Arabidopsis thaliana: one gene and its partners. The protein of the gene in region 3 purifies or fractionates together with the protein of the main gene of each other region. This does not show direct contact. Each region holds a gene or a part of one and is shown on either strand. Other genes may lie near its edges. The genes, in order: KNAT3, SYD, AP1 and CHR17.

The links.
Region 1: the proteins of AP1 (region 3) and KNAT3 purify together in Arabidopsis thaliana (affinity purification with mass spectrometry, with the first as the bait; one study listed by BioGRID). This does not show direct contact.
Region 2: the proteins of AP1 (region 3) and SYD purify together in Arabidopsis thaliana (affinity purification with mass spectrometry, with the first as the bait; one study listed by BioGRID). This does not show direct contact.
Region 4: the proteins of AP1 (region 3) and CHR17 purify together in Arabidopsis thaliana (affinity purification with mass spectrometry, with the first as the bait; one study listed by BioGRID). This does not show direct contact.

The regions. Positions count from the first base shown.
Region 1 is NC_003076.8:8,734,325-8,739,130, reverse strand, and holds KNAT3 (homeobox protein knotted-1-like 3), read right to left. Parts: upstream 3,188-4,806; 5' UTR 2,924-3,187; coding exon 2,243-2,923; intron 1,968-2,242; coding exon 1,847-1,967; intron 1,759-1,846; coding exon 1,574-1,758; intron 1,497-1,573; coding exon 1,365-1,496; intron 1,287-1,364; coding exon 1,150-1,286; intron 1,056-1,149; coding exon 1,016-1,055; 3' UTR 530-1,015; downstream 1-529.
Region 2 is NC_003071.7:12,055,249-12,059,810, forward strand, and holds the start of SYD (P-loop containing nucleoside triphosphate hydrolases superfamily protein), read left to right. Parts: upstream 1-1,522; coding exon 1,523-1,630; intron 1,631-1,724; coding exon 1,725-1,786; intron 1,787-2,034; coding exon 2,035-2,150; intron 2,151-2,247; coding exon 2,248-2,637; intron 2,638-2,738; coding exon 2,739-2,794; intron 2,795-3,311; coding exon 3,312-3,472; intron 3,473-3,559; coding exon 3,560-3,624; intron 3,625-3,706; coding exon 3,707-4,099; intron 4,100-4,214; coding exon 4,215-4,375; intron 4,376-4,562. UniProt on the Arabidopsis thaliana protein: Catalytic component of the chromatin structure-remodeling complex (RSC), which is involved in transcription regulation and nucleosome positioning.
Region 3 is NC_003070.9:25,981,770-25,988,166, forward strand, and holds AP1 (K-box region and MADS-box transcription factor family protein), read right to left. Parts: upstream 4,581-6,397; 5' UTR 4,334-4,580; coding exon 4,149-4,333; intron 3,169-4,148; exon of another isoform or gene 2,983-3,168; intron 2,807-2,982; coding exon 2,728-2,806; intron 2,628-2,727; coding exon 2,563-2,627; intron 2,470-2,562; coding exon 2,370-2,469; intron 2,139-2,369; coding exon 2,097-2,138; intron 2,011-2,096; coding exon 1,969-2,010; intron 1,490-1,968; coding exon 1,335-1,489; intron 1,167-1,334; coding exon of another isoform or gene 1,130-1,166; exon of another isoform or gene 910-1,129; coding exon 807-909; 3' UTR 525-806; downstream 1-524. UniProt on the Arabidopsis thaliana protein: Transcription factor that promotes early floral meristem identity in synergy with LEAFY. Is required subsequently for the transition of an inflorescence meristem into a floral meristem. Is indispensable for normal development of sepals and petals in flowers.
Region 4 is NC_003076.8:6,196,144-6,204,146, forward strand, and holds the start of CHR17 (chromatin remodeling factor17), read right to left. Parts: upstream 6,024-8,003; 5' UTR 5,916-6,023; coding exon 5,703-5,915; intron 5,419-5,702; coding exon 5,287-5,418; intron 5,210-5,286; coding exon 5,103-5,209; intron 5,011-5,102; coding exon 4,898-5,010; intron 4,677-4,897; coding exon 4,579-4,676; intron 4,487-4,578; coding exon 4,307-4,486; intron 4,224-4,306; coding exon 4,002-4,223; intron 3,792-4,001; coding exon 3,657-3,791; intron 3,588-3,656; coding exon 3,305-3,587; intron 3,223-3,304; coding exon 3,149-3,222; intron 3,038-3,148; coding exon 2,817-3,037; intron 2,741-2,816; coding exon 2,653-2,740; intron 2,577-2,652; coding exon 2,483-2,576; intron 2,400-2,482; coding exon 2,211-2,399; intron 2,121-2,210; coding exon 2,086-2,120; intron 1,971-2,085; coding exon 1,894-1,970; intron 1,798-1,893; coding exon 1,708-1,797; intron 1,610-1,707; coding exon 1,540-1,609; intron 1,446-1,539; coding exon 1,391-1,445; intron 1,319-1,390; and 12 more. Other genes in the region: AT5G18630 (alpha/beta-Hydrolases superfamily protein), read left to right, coding at 6,822-6,894, 7,273-7,352, 7,585-7,650, 7,740-7,787, 7,885-7,952. UniProt on the Arabidopsis thaliana protein: Possesses intrinsic ATP-dependent nucleosome-remodeling activity. Constitutes the catalytic subunit of several complexes capable of forming ordered nucleosome arrays on chromatin. Involved in the formation of nucleosome distribution patterns.

The DNA of each region.
Region 1 (4,806 bases), on a different chromosome or scaffold from region 3:
ATTTATACAATCCAAATGACAATTCTCTAAGTTAACAACTTTGATGTTCATTACAAAACTACTTATATGAATCTACTTTCCTAGATTTAATCTAATGTACTAATGGGCTTCTCATGAGACTAGTCTTTGAACTTTGTATGGTCCTCTAATAGAGAGGCGACCAAAATACTTAAGGACACTCTAATTATCTTTGTTAATGTGTGCAGAATCTCTCCGTGATCGATAGAAAAATCTCGCCGAAAACTTACAGTAACTTGTGGCTATCACAAACGTGACAAACGAAACAACAAGATGAGGATAAACAAACAATTTTGACTAGAAAAAAGAACACGTTTCAAATTATTACAATTACAAAAGTACGCAGCAAGCTACGTTATGTAAGATGGGGTATGTTTTATTTTTTGTCGTCATCTACCATGTATAATGTCTTTTACTTATCAAGCCAATATCACGAGTTGGAATGTGACATCGCAATAAATACTACGAACTAAGCGGATAAGAATCATAAGATGGGTTAAGTACGGTTAATGCGAAACATATACTGTATAATAGTCACATAGATTAAGCTAACCAAGTGGTGCGATACAAATTAACATATGCACCTGGTCAATGCGTAACATATACTAGTAGATTAAGAAAACTTGTGCATCCCAATGTTCTCCTCTCTCACTATCTTTATTCACAAGATATATTATGGATGATGATGATGATTATCTGATGGTTCATAAAAAAAAAACTCATGCAGACAAACAAACAAAAAACATTAAACAAAAGCCTGCATCTTCAGTTTTCATATTTTCTTTTTGGTTTGTGTGCTACTTAATAAAATATATGGGCATAATCACATAACCAAACTACGTTACTATGTAATTGCACAAAAAGTTACTTTCTAATACTGTCCCCTCTCTCTGTATAATCCAAACTCCTCCATAAAATTCTCAACTTTAAATCCCTAAAACCCTGCTTTCAAATCCCATCTTCCACCTCCCCAATTCACATCATATGTTTGTTGTTTCTACGCGAACCGCTCTCTTCCGCTATTGTCACCTGCATTGCTTTCATCAGACAAACAAAAGTTTCAGTCTTCTTTGAGTCCGATCCATAAGTTTTTCGGTTATGTTACAAGACTATATTAAAGTATAATAATACCTTTTGCGTTTGTTCTTCAATACAGTGGAAGAAGATGGATTGCTATGCCAGTTCCTCTTTCTCTGATTGATGAACCAATTGTTTATCTGTTTTAGCTGCAAACCTGTCTCTTGCACCAACCTCGCCTTATCTTCCTCCTACAAACCAATATTTGGTTATGGCTCAATGAATGAACTTGAAGAAGTTATAAAGAGATGTTAGATGAGTGAACTCACAGTAGGGTAAGGCCATTTGGAATGAGATTGCCACCAAGCTTTGAGAACAGAGGTGGTATCTCCTGGTAACTTCCCAGCTCTTCTCTTCCTTAATATCTCCTCTCTTATGTCTACTATCTTCTCCTTGTAACCCTTTTCATCAACAAGACAAAGCCCTCTACATTGTTAGTTCATGAACTAGTTCAAAGAACAAGTTTGTTGATTATTACCTGTTTGAGTTCATGTTTAAGTTCTTGTCTAACTCTTTCCATCAACGACCTCTCACTCTCAGTAGGAATCAAAGGACCAAAACCCAACACATCTAATCCCCCATCGAACATATTAGCATCACTCTCTACTTGTTCATCTTCATCGTCAGACATTGTTGCTCCCATCCCTTCTCCAGGAGACACTCCTAATCTCACCAATAAAACACAAAACTTGTCAATGTCATAAAACTAACTATTGGATTCATGAGCTAATCACAGGATTCATTTTCTCACCTGTTAAGCTTTGAAGAGACTGCTCAATCTCCCAACAAGCCATCACAGCTTCCATTGCATGAACACGCACATGTTGTTGCAATTGCTCTTTAAATGAACACAGTAGCAACACATAATGTGTCTACACCATAAAAAAAACATTAATCAAACACACAATAAACACAAAGAACAAAATTTGTATTTTCTTCATCATCATGACCATTATTATATCATAAGCTCTTTTTTTGGGATTTTAGTCTTGTTTATCCCTAAAAACACAAATCTTGATTTTAATATTTTAAGATTTCAAAAATCAAGAAACCTAAGTCGGTGTGTATTATTAAAATTTGTGCTAAGTATAATTATGAAATCGTTAATTATAAAATTATAGAACAAAAAAATCTGAAATTTATATACCATGAACTGGTCAAGTTCTTTATCGTCGCCGACGAGACCTTGAGCGGCGGCGCCTAAAGCTGAGTATTTAGCGACGACGTGTTGAGACTGAGCAAGCTGAGCATCGATTCTCGGAAGCTGATCAACCGGAGTCGCGATTCTCAAACAAGCAACGTGCGCCGACAAAAGCTGCTCGTAAAGAGGATGCGAAAGGATCTCCGCCTTGTGTCTCGCATTCTGCCAGCTCACTACTCCATCCGCCGCCGTAGCTCCTCCGCCGTCGTTTTTGTTTTCTCCACCGCCGGTTTTCATCTCTCCCTGAATCATAGTGTCTGCTCCTCCGGTGACATCATCGATCCCATCTCCGACTATGGAAGCGTTGTTGTTGTTGTTTCGTTGGAGGAAAGAGGAGGAGCGAGATAGCCACTGGTTAGCAGCGGCGGCGGCGGCGGCGGAGGAAGGAGAATCGGAGCTGCTTGCGGTTGTGGTGTTAGCGGTGGCTGTGTGGAGGTTGAGGAAGTTATTGTTGTTATCTGAGGAACGAAGAAGCGCTGTGTTTAACCAATTAGGAGGCGGTGCTTCTTGGAAATGTTGTTGCTGTTGCGGAGGAGGAGGAGGCGGTTGCGGAGGTGGAGGTTGGTGTTGGTCGGTGAAATGATTGAAGGAGAGGTCTTGTGAGAGATGATTGTGATGAAACGCCATCGTTTTGGTTTGACCTTTTTTTTTTTGTTCTTTTTGAATTTTGTTTCCTGTTTCTGAGAGGGAAAGATAAAGAAAGAAGGTGAATCTCTGCTGCTTCTATGACGACGATTGTTTCATATGTTTCAATTATCACCAAAAAAAAAAAAAAAGACACAGAAACTTTTCTTAAAATTGGAAAATAATTGGTTTTTGTGGTGTGTATGTATGTATCTGAGTATATATGTGTGGGTGTGTTCAGAGTTGCACAGAGCTGAGAGATCGAGAGATGACCATTTATTCTCATATTTATTCTTTCTTATTTTTTGCAACCTATTTATCAATATAATTGAATTATTATATGGAATTTATTAGATAAAAAAATATTCCTTCTCTATTCCTTATTATTTAATTTTTTAGAGGAAAAAAATTGTTTTAAAAAAAATAATTTTTAAATTTTCTATACATTATTTATTAGTTATTATTGATAAATTTTTAATTTTAAGATAAATAATTGAATATCATTGGTTTAGAATTATAAAAAAATATAAATCACAAAAGATAATATGTTTATAATTAGTTTTAATATGTTTTTTAATATATGTGTTTTTTTAGAAAATTAATTTAAAAAAAAAAACTGAAAGATAGTAAAAACAAAACATTTTTTTAAAAATCGCTTATGAGAACTTTTATTTGTTAAATATTTTTCTAAATGCTAATTAAAAAGTAAGACAAAAATTGATTTTTTTTGTTAAAGAAAACAAAAATTGATTTTTTTTGTTAAAGAAGACAAAAATTGATGTCACCTCGTATAATCAAATCAACTGATAAAATCTTTTTTGATTTAACTAAGAATTTGTAAACTTTCTTCTATAGTGATATTATTATTGGGGGAAAGATAAAAATCCGACATCATAAATTAACCATAGAAAGCAAAAGTATTTAATAAATCAGTACGCTACATAATAAACAGTGCATTTGAGAAAATAAGATAATTTAGTTATGGTTGACAAAAATGTATTTTTTTTTCTTTTCCAATCACTTTGGTCCACATAGACCTAAGAAAGAATAAATATAAAAGTAAGTGACTAATGAAACAACAAATAGAAGATTAGGTCACGACAGAAAATTAATTAAAGAAAGTAGGTCGTCATGGTTCGATCTATGTCGTTAAATTTTAGTGGCGACTGTATTTATTAAGATCTGACGGCTGCGAAAGGTCGTTGCCTTCTTCGACTGTGTTTGATTTTTTTTATTGTTGGGAATAATAAATGTATTTTTCCTTTTTAAAAAGAGTTGCTACGTGTTGTGTTTTAAGACGCAACGTATCTATGATATGAAGAAGCGCGTGCGTTTCACGTTCAGATGTTAGTGTAATTTTATGGCACTATGAAACAAATTTAACTTATTTATTTATACAATTATTTTTTGCTTCACGCCTTTACCTATTATAAATCCTTCTCGTTTTATGTAATGAAGTTACGAGAAATTATTGAAAACAAAAAATTTAATCATGAATTTAAAGTTACAATTTTAGGTTAAAGATTTGAAATAAAACAATCTTTTAAGAATTTATTTATATGGATTTAAAAGACCTAAGTACCAGAAAACAAATTAGCTTATTTGTTTATGCACACTATTTTTTTGCTTCACCCTTTCACCTTTTTAAAATAATAATAATCATTTCATATAATATAATTTGAGAAATCACTGGTTCTTTAAAATCACATAATTTTCTGAAATCACAGTTTTTGGTAAATATAATTTTTAGATTTTTTTTGGAGTGAAAATTTTCGTACATGCTACGAAACAGAAATTTGGTATAAAATTTGATGGTAGTATATTCGATCGTCACAATAAAAGTTATCGTATATTTTTTTATTTATTTGAGTTTGGTTAAAAACTTA
Region 2 (4,562 bases), on a different chromosome or scaffold from region 3:
AGCAAGCGTCACAGTATCTCCAAATACGGCTCGGAAAGGCAGAGGCAGACGCGGTTCAAATCTTGAAATCAAAGGATAGTAGAAAATCAGGGTGATCTAGTGATGGTAGACCATGAAATGGGATCTCTTCTAGGGCATACCAGTAAGTGTTTCCCTTTAGAGACACGCCACTGTGTTTGTACAAAATATACCAGTCTGGAGTGAAATCATCAATGACCTCCCATGAATTGGAGTATAAACTGTAAATCTGAAGCTCACGAATTCGGTCCCTACTGGTCTCCAAGTACTCATTCACGAATCTCAAGATTTTGTGATTCTTTTTCTCGTATCCGAGAGCGTACTTCACGCACTTGTGGTAGATAGAATTTCTAGGTAATTCGATATACCTTGTTTGTCCCAAATAAGGGTTCCAAACAACAACCCTAGAAGAGTCTTTGTCTCTGTCCTTGTTGATGCATAAGAATAAACCCTTGGCAGTGAAAGATTTTAGATATTTTGATTCCATCTGCATTGAGATTACCTATAGGATCTATAGACGGAGAGAGTAGATCTACGCTCATCAAGGAAACTCTATAGTCCATCATCATCACCACCTCAATTCCATTCCTCTGTTTCTTCTTTAAAAAGCTCTCACTTTTCGTTATAGTGTTCCACTTTTTGCAGGTCAATCGCAGTTTCCCCAGAGATTTCACCGGAACCCTAGAGAGCACCTCCTCCTCCATATCAATTGGAAGATCGAACATCTTCGAATCGAATCTCCCAAAATCTCTCTCTCTTTTCCGTGTCTATCAATCCATCTCTTCACGCCCTCTTTTAGTGATATAACTTATCTTTTTCAATTTGGGCTTTATGGTAATGGGTCAAGGCCCATTAAGGGGTCTCGTTTAGAACTCTTGATTAATGTCTGAAATAAGTTTTATACATTTCTTCATTTGGAGAGTCATTTCGCAGAGACGACGCATAGCTTCTTCACTTGTCAGCTCTCAACGTTTCTCACCTGAAATTTCACTTCTGCTTCGTCTTCTCGAGCCGGATCTCTAATTTGTAAAGCTCCCTCTCTCTTTCTTCTTGTTCTTCTTCGTCTCCTTCTACACTGATGGATCGTTATTTAGCTATTTAGGGTTTTGTGAGTTGCATTAACTAGAGTAACTCGCGAATTCTTCTCCTTTGCCTTGCGATTTGGGGAATTTTTTAGCTCCATCAGCCAATTTTACAATTTTGTATGTATCCGTGGATTTATCACATGAATTGTGGACCTCTGAGTTTTTTTTTTTTGTTAGGTTCTTCTCGCTTTAGTTTTGCTTTTAGGTACATAAATTTTCCTCCTTTATGATTTACTTGCTCTTGGGCTATTTTCTTTTATTTGTTTGGTATGGAGTATGGACTCTAGAGTTTAGTTTAGTTTTTTTTTTTGGGCACATTGGTTGGAATTAGTCTTGTTTTATTCTGAATTGTGTAATCAATATCTGCATGCTTGTGGTGATGCAGGGAATTCTTATGTGATGGTGTAATTTAAGTTAAGATGACGTCTTCTTCGCATAATATTGAGTTGGAAGCAGCTAAGTTTCTGCATAAACTTATTCAAGATTCTAAAGATGAACCTGCAAAGCTAGCAACTAAACTTTATGTGGTAATGTGGCTTCACCACTCAGTGTATGTTTTATTTTGTAATTTTGAGCTTTATTCCTGTGCTTTAACTTTGTTTATTCTTTCGATTACTCTAGATATTGCAGCACATGAAAACCAGTGGAAAGGAAAACACAATGCCCTATCAAGTCATATCTAGGTATTGTTTTCCTTATATATCGTCGCTGGTTATTTGTTAATGAATTACTGATTAGGTTGAGATGATATAATCTTCTTACGCTGTGAGGACGTGGGGGCTGCTTCTTACTGAATCAGTTGCTTTAGCCTTTATCTAACTCAAGACTTTAGAATCTAGTTATTCTGGGTCTTTCAGCGTCAAGCTGTTTCTCATGCTTTCAAAGATTTATCACTTTTGTTTTACTGATAAAGTCTTTCTAAAACTCCCAGGGCCATGGACACTGTAGTCAATCAACACGGTCTTGACATTGAAGCTTTGAAGTCCTCGTGTCTTCCTCATCCTGGTGGTACCCAAACGGAAGATTCTGGGTCTGCACATTTGGCTGGTATATCCTCTCTCCTTTGTTTCAGTTGAGTGTTTCAATTGTTTTTTTTATTTATTTATTTATTATCTTAAGCTTCTTGCATCAATGTGGAATACAGGGTCTTCCCAAGCGGTTGGAGTTAGCAATGAGGGTAAAGCAACTCTAGTTGAAAATGAGATGACAAAATACGATGCATTCACTTCTGGTAGGCAGCTTGGTGGATCAAACAGTGCGTCACAAACCTTTTACCAAGGGTCTGGAACTCAAAGTAACAGATCATTTGATCGTGAGAGTCCATCCAACTTGGATTCTACGTCTGGAATTTCTCAACCTCACAATCGTAGTGAGACAATGAATCAAAGAGATGTCAAGTCGAGTGGAAAGAGAAAGAGAGGTGAATCATCACTTTCATGGGACCAGAATATGGATAACTCTCAAATATTTGATAGCCACAAGATTGATGATCAAACTGGAGAAGTAAGCAAAATAGAAATGCCCGGTAATTCAGGTAGGGATATTTGCTTCAACATTGTTTCTTACAGAACAAAGCATATCCTTTTTAATCTAGAATATAAGAAGCACCCTACAATTGTTGCCATTAAACCTCAGGTGACATTAGGAATTTGCATGTTGGGTTGTCCTCAGATGCATTCACGACTCCACAGGTACATAACACTAAGTTTCCCGAATCCATCCAGATTATATACATATTGTGTACATAACATTAGGTTTATGAAATCATTTTGAGCCTCCCTGACTCTGCCAATTTCAAATATTTTGGGACTTTGTGCTACACGTATCTGATGCACAATAACTTCTTAAGAATGTATAAAGAGATATATGCTGGCACATGGTGGCTTATTCTCCGAAACATTTGTCTCTCCTTAGAAGTATTATTTTCTTATCTATTTTCGTTTTCTGTATTGGAAATATGAAAAAAATGCTTGCATTTCCCGTGGTGATTTTCTTTGTTTTTTAACCTAAAAAACTTAGATGCCACTAAATTCACTTTTTCAAAAACGTGATTTGATTAAAACTTTGCCTTCTATATGATGTATTGAATCTTACTTGCATATAGTCTGACTTAGGCTCTGCAAAATGTCCTTTCCTCTTTTATTTCATACCAAGATACCTCGTTGGAACTCATCCCCTCTATATGTGGGATCTTATTTTCTATGGCAGTGTGGCTGGCAGAGCAGTGAAGCCACAGCAATCAGGCCTGCAATTCATAAAGAACCTGGAAATAATGTTGCAGGAGAGGGATTCCTGCCTTCAGGTTCACCTTTTAGAGAGCAACAACTGAAGCAGCTCAGAGCCCAGTGCCTTGTGTTTCTAGCTCTTAGGTACCTTACAGTCTCCTAGCCTCTGTATACTCCTTTTGGTGCGGCAATTGTAACTCTAAAAATTTCTGGTTGATTTTCATCTCGTAGAAATGGTTTGGTACCGAAGAAACTTCACGTAGAGATTGCCCTTCGAAATACTTTCCGCGAAGAAGGTAATGTTGGTGCTCACTGAAGTTACTTTCGAATCCACTTTTTACATGCTTTCCCTTGGATCATAATTGGTCTTCATTACAGATGGTTTCCGCGGAGAATTGTTTGATCCGAAAGGGAGAACACATACGTCCAGTGATCTGGGTGGCATTCCTGACGTCTCTGCACTGTTGTCAAGAACAGACAATCCCACTGGAAGATTGGATGAAATGGACTTCTCATCCAAAGAAACTGAGAGATCAAGACTAGGGGAAAAAAGTTTCGCAAATACTGTATTTTCTGACGGGCAAAAGCTTCTAGCATCTAGAATTCCCAGCTCTCAAGCACAAACTCAGGTTGCTGTTAGTCATTCTCAACTAACGTTTTCTCCTGGTTTGACCAAAAACACACCATCAGAGATGGTGGGGTGGACTGGAGTAATCAAAACTAATGACCTCTCAACTTCTGCTGTTCAACTCGACGAATTTCATTCTTCTGGTTAGTGACTATCTTAGATGGGATTGTTTTAACTGATGGGTCTTTCCCTTTTGGAGTGTAGTATTGTTAACTAATTTGATTGATAACTCTTCGAATATGGATATATGGCACATAGCAGATGAAGAGGAAGGTAATTTGCAACCGTCGCCTAAGTACACCATGTCACAGAAATGGATTATGGGTCGACAGAATAAGAGACTATTGGTTGATCGTAGTTGGTCCCTTAAACAGCAGAAAGCCGACCAGGCAATTGGTTCACGGTTCAATGAGTTGAAGGTCTTTCTCTAGCCTTTTCTTTCATTGGTGTTACCTTTTGTTTCACGAGTGATTGATTTTTCCTGGTGTCAACGTTTTATGCTGTTGCTTGTTGTTTGTGGTGGTTCTTACTTTTCCGTGTTCTTGATCTTGTTATTGGAACAGATCAATGATCATATTTAAGTATCCGATTTTGGATATAGAAGTG
Region 3 (6,397 bases):
ATAATTACCAAAATGTTTAATACAGAAATTGTTTTCTAAAAAAATTAGCAGGAATACAACGAAGAGAAGATAATGTGAGAGTTACGCTTACCACAACGTGCCTTTTCTTGAGTTTAGCAACATTTTACTGAATGTAGATGAAGAGAAGATAATGTGAGAGTTACGCTTACCACAACGTGCCTTTCTGGTGGTGATATATCTTAAGAACCTTAGTGGGCATTTTCACTGGTCCCTTTACTGTAAGTCTCGTGTCCTTAGCTCCATGAAACAAGTCAATACACACTAATTATTCGATCACTAATCAAACAAATGTATCAGAGAGACTACCAGGGTGTTACATTACAGATCCTCATCCATTCGGAGGCACTGTTATTATTGCCTATCTTATCTAATTAGAAGCAAATTCTGGGCCTTTATAGGCCAACATCCTTCCTTGATTCTAATTGGGTTCTATTCCGATTAATACGGCCCAACCACTCAAGTTCGCTTGTTGTAAACTTGAAATAATAAGAAATTTTGCCACTCCTAACTTAATGCAACAAAAAAAAAAAAAGGTCCGATCTATTAAGTTCACGTTCATTCTCTCTGACCTTCAAATATATTACAATTTTGCTCCATATTGAAGCAAATAAACTTATCAAATTACAAAAGAAGAAAGGAGCCTGCTAATTTATATATGATGATATAAGAACATCGAACATTTGCCAAAATATATTAATTGGATGAAAAGAGCCTAGCCACTATTTATATGTATGTGGCAAACTGTTTTTATTGTTGACGATTACAAATATATATATGGAAATGCTTCATGCGGCGAAGCAGCCAAGGTTGCAGTTGTAAACGGGTTCAAGAGTCAGTTCGAGATCATTCCTCCTCATTGCCATAGGATCATCTTCTTGATACAGACCACTGCATTCACAATCATACATAGGATATATATGAAAGTGCATATGTAATCATATGTTTCACCGTACAACAAAGGAAAATCAAATATCAGTCCATTGTGAAATGTCAAAGATATATTAATTTCATTTATCTAACAAACTAAAATTGTACTTAAACACATAGACCAACAACAACAAAAAGTCGACTTAGGCTTTTCGCAACCATTCCATGTACATTTTCCACACTAATAAGTTTGTTCGTTTGGCGACCATTGCATTAACCTACGTTAATAAAATAATGTTTTAAAATAAAGTTTTCTAGTTTCAAAATCATGACATCATGTAACCATCACTAACAGCTATAACTTCAATGAAATTACAACACCTAACGTAACTAGCTTGCATAACATATGTGCTTTAAATTAAGACTGATTAGTAATTTTTTGTTACCCCATGTTGAGAAAAGGAGATGGCTGATGAGAGAGCATGTAAGGATGCTGGATTTGGTGCTGCTGCGGTGGCAGAGGGGGAGGCATATTGTGGCCTTGGTTCTGCTGATCCCACTGCTCCTGTTGAGCCCTAAGAATTTTTTCCCTCTCCTTGATCTGCCAGCAAATTTATTTCAAACCATATTATCATCATCAATTTTCAAAGTGAAGAAACTATATATATGCAATGGTTACAAATAGTTATTTTCACAGTTGCACTCATGCAATGAACTATTATAACATTTTTATAATTAGGAGTAGTGTCTATATTCATATACATAGATATGAGCTAAGTAGAATGATGGGACAACATTTCAAAGTTTCAAATATTTTCAATCCGAGAGACAACCTTAAAACTAAACGGACAAACCATATCTACGTACAGGCTGGTGATTATATCAATCAATAGACAACATCTATGCTATTTCAAACAATTTGCAAAGATTTTCTATTTTTATTTAATGGTGCCGAAGTTAAGTGGAGATATGAAGATATCGTAGGTATAGCTTGGCTGGAAGTGTGGAGCAGAACAGTGGAAGGTAACAGTAATGCAATGGACAACATGTTGATGAAAGAGAAATGATGACATGTGTTACCTGTTTAGAAAGCATGCTGTTTTGCTCCTGTATGGCCTTCTCCTGTCATTTCCGAAACGGCACGATTGTTAATTAGCTTTCCTATACGTTTCTCTATAAGACATACATTTGATAGGGGTTTTACATACCTTTTTTTGGAGCTCATTGATGGACTCGTACATAAGTTGGTTCTGCATACACACACATCAACATTAACAACCCATTACTTTAAGTAATATGAGTCTTAAAATACACAACATAACTCATACATTCGAACCAACCTATAGACATATCAAATTGATATTGATTACTGATATATATATTGATACATACACATATGTATTTCAATGTTCACATTATAATAACACTTGTAAACGTTTAAGTTATATAGATATGTTCAACGAAATAGCAGAAGGCAATACTTTTCTAGTGCGGATGTGCTTAAGAGCAGTGTCAAGCTGCTGCTCCAGATTCTGAAGCTCTTTAGGGCTCATTGCTTGCAAGTCTTCCCCAAGATAATGCCTGAATTTCAATAGCATCAATGAATTTTAACTTACTTTAAAATGGAACCCGATCGATTTCCTAGATAGAAATGTGATGAGTGTAAATGTGTACCTCTGGTTTCTCTCCAAAAGCTCAATCTTAGCCTTAAGCCTGTTATACTCCATCGACCAGTTTGTCTGTGTACCAGAAGTTTTATACAAATAAAATTCATCAATACTACAAATAGATTGATATAATATATATGTGGATTAAAAGGAGAAATATTTATTGAAATACATTGACGTCGGACTCAGGTGCAATAAGCTGTCTTTCGGCGTAAGAGTACCTCTCATAGCGTTCAAGTATCTTCTCCATACTGATCATTTCACAGAATTAGGGTTAGCTTTATCATCAACCAATTATCATTTTATTATATAAATAATATGGAGATGTAACCAAAATATCATCACATTTTAGGATAAATCTAATGATGGTTTTATGCAATTAAACCAAGATTTCCTATAACAAATCAAGTACCGATCTCTATGATACCTTTATAATAACAAAACAGTATGAATCATAGACCCTATGCTCTTAGCTTCGAGTTCTAACTGCGGTTTCTTTAATTTTGCTACAATTAGGTACAGAAAATCTTCTTAGATGCGACACATTATAATAAATTATTATAATCTTGCCAATTTACCAATCTTATTTTTTTTCAGAACAAGGACAATGCTTAAAAAAAAAAAGAAAAAAAAAAAAAGAAGAACAGCTGTTGCTTGTTGGAGCTAAGTTTGACCATCGGTAAGAAGCCGATTTTAGGATGGAGTTAATTCTTTTTATGGATCCCCAGAGGTCAAAGACTCCCTACTCAGATTTGACATCTTTGTTTCAGTTTTAATTTCTAAAGTCAAATAGAAAAAGAAGCAACACTAGTTCAAATTTAATACTATATAGTGTTTTATATTACGAGTTCATAATCTTAAGATCCGAGTTTAAACATTTTCTTTGCTTAGATTTGCAAAACATGAAGACACAGTCGTGAGAACAAATTAGATATTCTTTTACAGCTGAAAAAAAACAACTCGTAAGTTAAATATTCTTTCTAATAAAAAATTCTCAATTTGACATTATTATCTATATCTATTTTAATTTATTTTCTCGTCCCATAATATTTTTTAATTATAATCCAGTTGCAACTTATATATGAAAAAAGAAACGACACTTCATTTAAAACTCGAACTCAGTGAGCGAGTGAAAACTACAGATCTTATTTTCTTACTATGGCATCAATTAGAGCTTAGATCTGCAAATTCGAAAGACATGGCTATTGGAGAACAAAAGAATTCATTATGAGTTAGGGATCAAAACCCTAGTTCAAAGATTAAACATACACCCTTCTATATGCTCTTGAGTTTGAAGATATGATGCTGATAAATATTGCACAATATATCAAGGTAATTACTATGGTATAATTAGTGTGTTCTAGGGTTCACTTCACTACGGCCCTAAAGTTTTGATTTTTAAATTATACAAATTTGTATTAAACATTTTTCTGGCTAATCAAAAAATCCAAAAATGGAAGCCCTAGAAAATATATAAACAAAAGCAGTAGTGAATAATTAGGGCAAATCAAGTAGTCAACTTAAGGGGGAAAAAACTATATAAAGTAGCAGATTAAAAGATTTTTTTAAAAGTAAAGAATTAGTTGAAGTTACCAAGAATCAGTGGAGTATTCGAAGAGTTTTCCCTTATGGGAGAAGACAACAAGAGCAACTTCAGCATCACAGAGAACAGAGATCTCATGAGCTTTCTTCAAAAGACCAGCTCTTCTTTTCGAGAATGTCACTTGTCTATTGATCTTGTTCTCTATCCTCTTCAATTGAACCCTACCCCTTCCCATTTTTGATCCTTTTTTAAGAAACTTCTTACTCTAAAAGAACCAAACAAAACAAAGACCCCCAATAAGAAACTACAAGAGAGATATAAAGAAGAGCTCAGACTTTGGTATGAACCAATTAGGAAAGTTTTTCTTTCTTTCCTTTATAAAAAGACTTGTGTTTGAGTCTCGGGATCTTTATTTATGGAGAGATTTGGGTAAGAGTGGTTTTAGGGAAAAGCTAAAGCTGGTTTCTCTTGTTTGCAAAAACCACAGTGGTTTCTTTAGGATTTGCGTGTCGACTTCTCATTGGTATATCTCGTACTAATGTCGGGTCCATGATTTTTTAATAAAACTGCGGACTTAAAAATATGAAAATAAACAATTTGATTATCGACGTCTCGTGAAGAGAAATGGGTAAGTAACATTGTACGGACCACTGGTCCTTCCCCAAGTGTCACCTTCGCTTTGCATTGACGGCGGAGATTTCCCTGTAGATCTACGAAACAAAATCTGAACCAACCAAAATATCTATTTTTAATTTCCTTTTATTAACATTTCTCTATTACCCTATTTTACACTATTCTTTTGGAATAAGGTGAGAACCCTTTGTTTTATCAAATTTGCTTATTATATTTAATGTTCTCAGCTGTAACAGTGAAGTACAAATAGACCTTTCTTTTGGCAATAGATGTTTTTGGTAGAGCTGAGAACCAATTGACAACTGTGTAATGTATTGCGTCGACGGATTTGTACGCAGGATTTAAGGAAAGAGAGGAAGATCGAGAAGAATAATTGTAAGTATTCAAAATTTCAAACCCAAAAATAGTATTTTGTCAAAGATTTGTTCAATGTTGTGTGTTCTTATTAAGTTGTAGATGATCAGGACAAAAATCAGTTGAATATGTGCTATGTTGTTAATCAAACATACATATATTTTTTTTCGTCAATCAAACATATTTAGTTTGTACGTTATATCCATATATATTGTTAAATAAAACAACCATATATATACAATTTGATGTCAATCATATAATGAAATAAACCACATAAAAACCTTTGCTCAATTTGCTTAATCACTTCTTTTACAATGAATTTCCGTTGTAATAGTTTTCTCTTTTGAGATCTTCAAGTGTGAAAAAACCCCTTATTTTCAGTCAATATCCAATAACAAAAAAAAAAAAAACAGATTCGGCATTTGCTTAAGGCATATATTGCATAAGCCTTAGAGAAAACAATATAATTAAGTGAAAGTTGGACCACGTTTCAAATTTCTTTGTTAGTCAAGTGTTCCTGTTTTAGTTGATTACTTTAAATATCTCAGGTTTGAGGACTAATTGATTTTTCTTGTTAAAAAATTTCTTTCTGTTTTTTCCATTTCTTCTCTTATTTGGTGTTTTCCACGTGTCTTCTTCCTTATTTGATTTACTTTGTAATTTATAAATATTTGGACATCTTTTAGCAACTATTGCTTACGGTATTATTGTTTCATCAAAACAACAATTATACTAATTTTAGAAAAATAAATTAGACCATGTAAAAAGAAAAAATTGTAATATAGTAAAATCTATTTAAGTTAAAGTTCATTTTTAGTTATATATTTCTTCTATGCCAAATGAACCTATGCTAAAAAGATGTCACTTGCATTTTAATCCAACTTTATGTATTTTCTTCATAGAAGTTATATTAAATCTGGTATGGTATGACATATATACTTGAAATGGTCGTGGTTATATAACCAAATTTAAACATGTACGTCCTGAGTTTTGAAACGATACATAAGTTAAAAGATAGTGTATAGAGAAATCAGTCTAAAGATAGTATACTATATATATGTATGATATGTATATGGAGATCATGAGCAAAAGTAGTAAGCAACAAAAGGAAAAGTAGAAACTTAACAAATTGAGCAAAACTAAAAGAATCTAAGCTCGTGGCCTTGAAGACAACATCCCAAGAATATCCATTATCTTCGCCTTTGTTACATCTCCACCCTTCTTTTCTTCCCATTAAATATCCCTTTTTACTCTCTTTCAGTTTATTATTCGATGTAGCATACATATTTTATATACAATATCTCGATCCACT
Region 4 (8,003 bases), on a different chromosome or scaffold from region 3:
CATAAATCTTTCTGATTACTTAGTGATGGATTCAACACAAGCCTTCTTATTTCCTACGCTTTCCCTGCAGAGACATAAAGTTTTTTTTTAGTTAGGATCAGAAATAGATGGTCTGTCTGCTTTGCATGAATTAACCAGTAAAATGAAAAACTCTTTTTATGTTTTGGAAATGATTTTGAGTACCGAGCTCACATAATCATCCATTGACAGCTGCTTTCGTTTCTTCAGAAGAGATGAAGGGCTCTCATTTGCTTGCCTACCCGAAGGTCGTTTTGATGGCGTTGCACTCTGAAACAAGTTGTAGAACAGATCATGAGAAACAATTCCACAGCATCTCATCAGTAAATGAAAATGTAAACTTAAAATGTTCTTCGCACAAAAAAAAAAAAATGTTCCTTCAAGTCCTCACCTTTGAAAGCTTCTTCTCTTTTCGGGCTTGCCTCTCTCTCTCATCAAATTCTTGATTCTCTTTCTCAATCAACCTGATTAGTGTGTCACATCTCCTTGCAAGTTCCTGAGTTGTGCGGGATTTTACAAACCAGTCAAACCTAAACAAGGGGGATGTCCGAAACGCTGCCTTTAGCTCATCCCAGTTTCCATACCCAAGTTTATGGACCATGCATATCTGATAATCACAAGTTCATCGGGTCAATATCATATTAGAATAAAACAATAACAATGAAATCTCAACAAAGAGTTTGATAAATAGATGTCATACCATGAAACGGTCGCACTCTTCATTGTACAGCTTCCCTTTGTTCTGACCATATTGAATCTTCAGTTCCAGCCACGGGTTTCTGTAGCGATCCAGTTTCTTCCCAATAGCTTTCATGATTTCATCTTTCCTAGAGATTCTTGCTTCCCCTCTCTCAATATTCTTGATGATTCTGTCGTAATCTACAATTTTTACAAAGGAAAACAAGAGGCAGAGCTTACTTAGGATAAATATCCAACTTTGTCGCACTGCAAACACTCATTAACTTTACTTAACAATCTAAAGTTACTAACCATTCAGCTCTTTATATCGCACTTGGAAAACTTGAGCATATCGTTCAACCTCTTCCTCAGTTTTCCCTTCCATCTCAGAGGCAATACTCTTTATGTCGTTCCGGCCATACTTCTCACAAGCCCTAATGAAGGCATTGAAGTCTCTTCTGCTCCATGTTGAGAAACCCTAAAAAATATCAACTCCATTAAATTATAAAAAAACCATCAAAAACAAATGTCAACCCACAGTAAGGTCGAATGGTTTGGCTTGCCTCTTCCAGCAATAGCTCCTTTTCTTCCACTTCTTCAGCAGTTAAGGGATCTCCAACTTCTGCAAAATTATTTCTTAAGTAATAGATTCAGTAAAATAATGTAAGAAAAGAGGGCAAAGACTGAGAAAGACCTTCAGGTTCATCAACCTCAATTGTGTCTTTCATTTGAGTTTTCTGATGTGCTTGCTGAAACCAGAGTGAAACAAATTGCTATTCAGAACTAATCAGACACAAAAGCTGCATAAATTACATAACATGTTGATAAACTTGTTATTCCCACCATAAGGTATCGCACTTCTTTTTCATACAGCTCAGTCAGCCTCTGAATGTTAAAGAACTGAAAATCATGCCTGCAGGATGGACAAGAAATTAGATTTTTACGATAAAAGTACTATAAATAAGACAGGGAAAAGGCTAAATGCAGAGTGGAGACAATTGAGGTACTCACAATTGGGGCATGCGTGGAATTCTAGGCTCTTTAGGTTTAGCTGGAGCACCTTGTCGCAACGTTTGCTTGAAGTATTCAACTTCAGAGTAGCTAAAGGGTGGGTAGAGAAAAGTAAATTGTTGAAGTTAGATATTGTTTAGGAAGACAGGATAGACCACGTAATGAAAAAGTAGAAGTAATATTTACTTGCGCTTTCTCTCTCTTTTTGGTGGATCATTCCAATTTTCACTCACAATCTTTTTAAAATCCACCTTGCTCTCATCCTACCAAACAAAATTAAAAAAGAAATCAGGAAACGATATTCGAAAAACTGCAGAGCATAACCACAGTATGCGTTAAACCTTTCCTTCAATCATTCAATTAATTATCCAAGAATACCTTGTTGTCATCGTCAAAATCATAAAAGTCAGCACCTGCAACAAACCAAAAACTATCTTGTTTGGACATCCCATTACCCATGCAAGGGAGTTACCATTGGAAAAAGGGATAAATAGCACACTTACTGTCATCCATTTTAAACTGTATTGCATCTTCAGTAAATTTCTTCATCTTGGCATCAAGTTCAGCCGTTGCCTCTTCTCCTTTGGCAATGATTCTGTCAATATCCTCATCCGTAATTGTGCTATCTTTAGAACTAAACACCATTTCAGCACCATATCTCACCATTTGAAGCAACTCATCCTTATTAACAGCTGGAAAGCAAAGAAAAGAAATCAGTATATATATGTAAGAGAAAATCCAATACATCTAACAGCCTCAGTACACAAGCACTTACTTTTCTGTTCTGCCAATCTCCCTTGCTGAATAACCAGAGCATCAAGTGCCAACTTCTTGTAAGCTCTCTCAATGACTTTAGCCTCAATAGCATTCTGCATAAGACCAATGCAGAATTAGTTCAAGTTCTCCAGGTCATTCTTACTTCATACACATGGGTACAAGAGTAACCTCGGTGCAGAACCGGAACACTTGAACTTCTTTTTTTTGACCAATCCTATGTGCACGATCCTGAGCTTGCAAGTCAACTTGAGGGTTCCTGCCATAATCCACCCACCTCATTAGGCATAAAAGAAAACACTCATAAATTACAATGGACACAAAAAGAGCCTTACCAGTCACTATCATAGAGGATCACAACATCTGCAGTAGCAAGATTGATACCAAGTCCTCCAGCTCTAGTGGATAACAAGAAAACGAATTTCTCACTTCCTGGCTTGTTATAGGCTTCTATGGAAGCATCTCGTTCGTCACCACCAGTATTTCCATCAATACGGCAGTACTGGTAACCACGATACATTAGGTAATCCTCGAGAATATCCAAAAGCCTTGTCATCTGATACAGATGAGCAAAATCGTTGGAATAAGCACAAAGAACCAAGAAAGATATCACTCAGAAAAAAGGAATCAAAGATAGGAACAATTATTTGTTTGCGTTAATGAATACCTGAGAAAATATCAGAACCCTTGAATCTCGATCCTTCAACTTAGGTAGCAATTTATCTAAGAGAACCATCTTACCTAGAAACAAGAACATGTAAAGAGAAAATAACTAAGCCAATTGCCACATTTCTGAATGATCTACTTGTAATGTAAATCTTACCTGCGTTTGTTACAAGGTGATCTCCTGTAGTATATGGGGGACCAGGCTCCGCACCCTGGAAGAGATAAGGGTGATTGCAGCATTTCCGCAATTGCATTGCTATGTTCAACAGACGTTTGCGTTCTCCACCACCATTAACCACTTCAAGATCCTTCTGCAGTAAAGCCTTGTAGTACTGTTTTTGCATTTGAGACATGCCAACTTTGAGTATTGTCTCCTTTTTTGGAGGTAAGCCTTTCTCTACATCTGATTTTAACCTCCGAAGAAGAAATGGTCGCAGAACCTACAAAGATGAGGTAAATGATTAGCATAAGAACTTAGAGAATAACCTTGATAAAATATGAGTACATACCTTGTGAAGTTGTTGAACAACTTCTTGCTGGTCGTTTTCACCAGAAATTTGAAACCACTCGTCAAAAGTTTCTGCTGAACTAAAAACCTCAGGGAGAAGAAAATTGAGAAGGGCCCACAATTCATGGAGATTATTCTGTAGTAGAAACATATGAAATGAATACAATATTAACTCAAGCAAATCAAGTACAGAAGATAGTAAGAAGCATGTCTAAGGAACACGAAAAGAAAAAAAAACTAAGTTCAACAGACTCAAGCAAGAAAGTAGTTTCAACATAGGCAGAAGCAATCTGACAGAAAAATTGAAGGATCTAAACAATTATAGATCAAAAGATTTGACAAGTACCTGAAGGGGGGTTCCCGTGATAAGAAGCCGATAGTTGGTGCTGAAAAGTCTCATGGTTTTCGAAAGGAGTGAATTCTCATTTTTAATTCGATGTGCTTCATCAATGATTATATATCGCCAGCTAAAACGGCGCAATGTTGTCTTCTCTTTGATAGCCATCTCAAAGCTTGTTACACAAATGTCGAATTTCCCTGCAACTAGCAGTTCTTCACGAATATGTCTCTGCATTATTTAAAATATATCTCAGAATCCTGCCAGGTGCATATAAATGCAACCATTCAAATGTAAGAGCTATTATGACTTACTCTTTCCTCGGGATTACCGAGAAATTTCACAGCACGCAGGACAGGACAAAATCGGCGAATTTCATTCATCCAGTTACCAAGGGTTGATTTTGGAGCAACTACCATATGAGGGCCATTAATTCCCCTGTACTCATGCAGGTAAGCCAACAAAGAAATGGTTTGAAGCGTCTTCCCCAGACCCTAGACCATGAACAAAAACAATAAAGATTAGCATCAGATAACATTAGAGAGCTGAAAAATCTTATTATATGCTAAGATAATTAGTGGTTTACCATTTCATCTGCAAGAATCCCATTTATGCCGTTCTCATACAGCCGAATGAGCCAGTTTAAACCAGCTAATTGGTAATCTCTTAACTTCCCCTGAATACCTGCAATATGAAGAGTATGAAGATCAGATCTCTAAATTCTACAGAATTTATGCAGTCCTACCTAGAAATTGTGAGCTCGCAACTGAAGAATATATCAAACAACTCTACCAATCAAAGAAGTGGGCATAAGGTGTCAAATCCTATAATAACTTCGACTCGCAATAGGACTTGAGCAAACATACGCTATATCAAGATATTAGGAGCAAAACAAAGGTACTTACAAGCGGGCTGAGTGAGCAACCGTGTGCCTCCAGATCCAACTATACCACCCTCTTCTTCTTTTAAACACTCTTCATCTTCCTCTTCCTCGGTTAGTTTGGAAGAATGGCGACCCCTGACGATAAAGTGAAACCCAATAAATTATATTTCTGGAAACTTAATATGAATAACCACAATTTATTTTGAGATAAGTTGCACTCAACACACCTTCCTTTTCCCTTCTTCTGGGACGGAGACGGGTCACTTTTAGCAAAATGTGCAAATAACTCAGTTTGCTGCAGAAGATACTTTATCCTCCCCTTTCCTTTATTGTTCTAATAAATGGAATGATTGAGTTATTTCAATACCTCTGGATACTAAAGACAAGCAGCTCAGTTATTTACTAACTTACCATATCAGCATCTATGGAAGCATTTTGGGAGTCTAAGATTTGCTGAATTTTCTGCTTCTTCATCTTCTGCATTTCTTTGAGTCTAGCCTTCTCACGTTTGCTGATCTCAGCTTTCTCCTCGTCTTCTTCGTCCTACATATAACCATCAAATTATGAAAAGAGTGACCAAATATCCTCACGAGTCACATGAATGTACCATCATAATGAGCGACCACCCATCATTGTAAGCACTTCTAAGCATAAACCTTCAAACAAAGAGAGTCGAAACCAAAAGACACCCAAATATCGAATATACGCTCAAAGGAAACCCTAATCTTACTTAGAATACATTCAGATTTCCAAATACAGCAATCCCCGAATTCACAGCCGACATGCGAATGTAAATCGAAGAGTGGAAAACAGAAACGAAGACATACCTCTTCAGCGTCATCTTCTACGGGGACAACCTCGTCGTCAGAGACAGGTGCTTCGTCGGGCGCAACATCTTCCTCGTCAGAGCCCGCAGAGCGAGCGACGGCCTCGAGCTCGTCATCATCTTCTTCCACATTGGCCTGATCGTTAACTTGCTCCTCTTCCTCCGACGAGTAAGCCTCGTCTGAAGAAACTTCCCGCTTCGAAGCTCTAGCCATCGACGCGCCTCTACGAATCCTGATTTCGTCTGAGAGATCGAATCGAGGGTTCCTGAGTTTTTTTTGCTTTGGTTAGTAAATAAACAAAAGTGAAATTAAAAGCAACAAACCCGACGTTTGAAACGACCGTAGCTTCTATTTTACCCCGTTGATTTCGAGAAATCAAATCTACGGCTGAGATGTGCCACGTTGGCTTGACTTATAAAGATTCTCCCGCCACTTGAGAAGTAAGAGTTTCGGAAATTCCCGCCTTGGAATTCGGGCTTTAAAGGCCCATGGGCTCGAAGTTAAACTTAGAAGAAAGCGAAAGTCAAAAAGGTCAACTTCTCGTTCTTATAACGGAACGGCCTTATCCATTTATCCGCCCGAATCACGTATCTGACACCTCAGCACTTGAAGTTGCGACACGCTACACACCTAAAATTCCAATAATACCCTTTGAAAGAGCCTACACGCTTGTCTCATGCACCTTTGCGTATAGAGGATGAAAGTGGAAGTTAAGAAAAAAAAAACCGAATATTCGTATTTTAATCGCCGTTTCTTTTCTTCTATTAGCTTCTGTTTCGCAAGATCACGACTTCTATATAATAATATATAAGCTCGCCGTATAATTTTCTTGCCGGGAATAATCTCCGATCATCGTCGGAAATTTCCGAATTGTTGTAAAAGAAGTCCAATTTAGGCTTTGGATCCTCAGTTTAATTTATCTGGGACTTTTGGTTGCTGAAATCTCTTTCGGGTTTTGTCCTAATCCTCATTAGTTTGGGTTTCGTGAGTCTCGTTTTATAAGGTATATTTTTGGCTAATTTGCTTCCGAATTCTGCTTTGTTTTAGCTCAATTTTGCCCTTAACATTGGTTGATGAACAGAGGATGATGTGGTTGTGTTTATTGTCTTCTTGCAGAACATGGGACAAAAGAGATTGTTGTTCTTGCTGGCAGTTTTTACTTTTCTTGTTTCATCTTCATATGGTAGAGGTGGTAATGCAACTTCTATAATGATTCTATGTCTGTTTCCTTTATTGGGACTTCCAGTTTTTTTATTCTCCTGAGTCTCTCTGAGCTTAATTAAGATTTTAAACTTTCTGTGTAATGTGAAGTGCTTGGGAAATTGGAAATTTAATCTGGCTACAGTGATTTTTCATTAAGGCCTAATTACATGTTCTATCATGTTTGGAACAAATCAATTCATAATCCTTGTAGCATCATCATATACATAAGGAACCATGAAGGTCAAAATATTGATTTCAAAGCTTTATGTTTTCGACAATTTCATGTTCTTGGTATGAGTTGTGAGGCTACGAAGGAGTTAAGACTGAAGCAAGTGGATTTATGTTAGCTTCTTTCTTCTAACTGCAGTTCTCAAGTTGAAGAGCGATGATGATCGACCTGTTTACAACCATACGCTTGCCGTCACGCTTGTGGAGTATGCCTCTGCGGTAAGTTAATGGCAGATTAGTGAAGTAGTAAAAGACCTTTGATAATGATTTAGCTTCAAAACGTAATACCCTGTAGAACGAATGTCATTTATATCTAGTGTTCTGCAAGTGAGAAGAAATTACACTTGTCCTCTTCATATTTTCATTTATCATTATTTGCACTACTAGAGAAAAGAGATGATGCTGATAACGTACATAAGATGAGTGAATCAAGTTTGTAAGATGTATGCAGGTCTATGAGTCTGATTTGACAAAACTCTTCACTTGGACGTGCGAAAGATGCAATGGTTTGACAAAGGTAAAAAACACATGTTGAAGCAGATCACTGTTTGAACTTTGAAGCCGCAATTATTGAGTTGAGCTCTAACGTTTGTTAGGATGGTGCAGGATTTCGAAGTAATAGAGGTCATATTTGACGTTGAACACTGCTTACAGGTCTGCTCTGATATCATAAGCTACAGCTGGTCATGAACTCATGATGTTTCTTCATTGAACAATTATTAATATCAGTACATGTAACTTGTAACAACAGGCGTATGTTGGGGTGGCTAAGGATTTGAATGCTATCATTATTGCATTTCGGGGAACTCAAGAACACAGGTTTTATTCTAGTCATTGTAATCTAAAAGCTACTCCTTCGCATAAACTTGG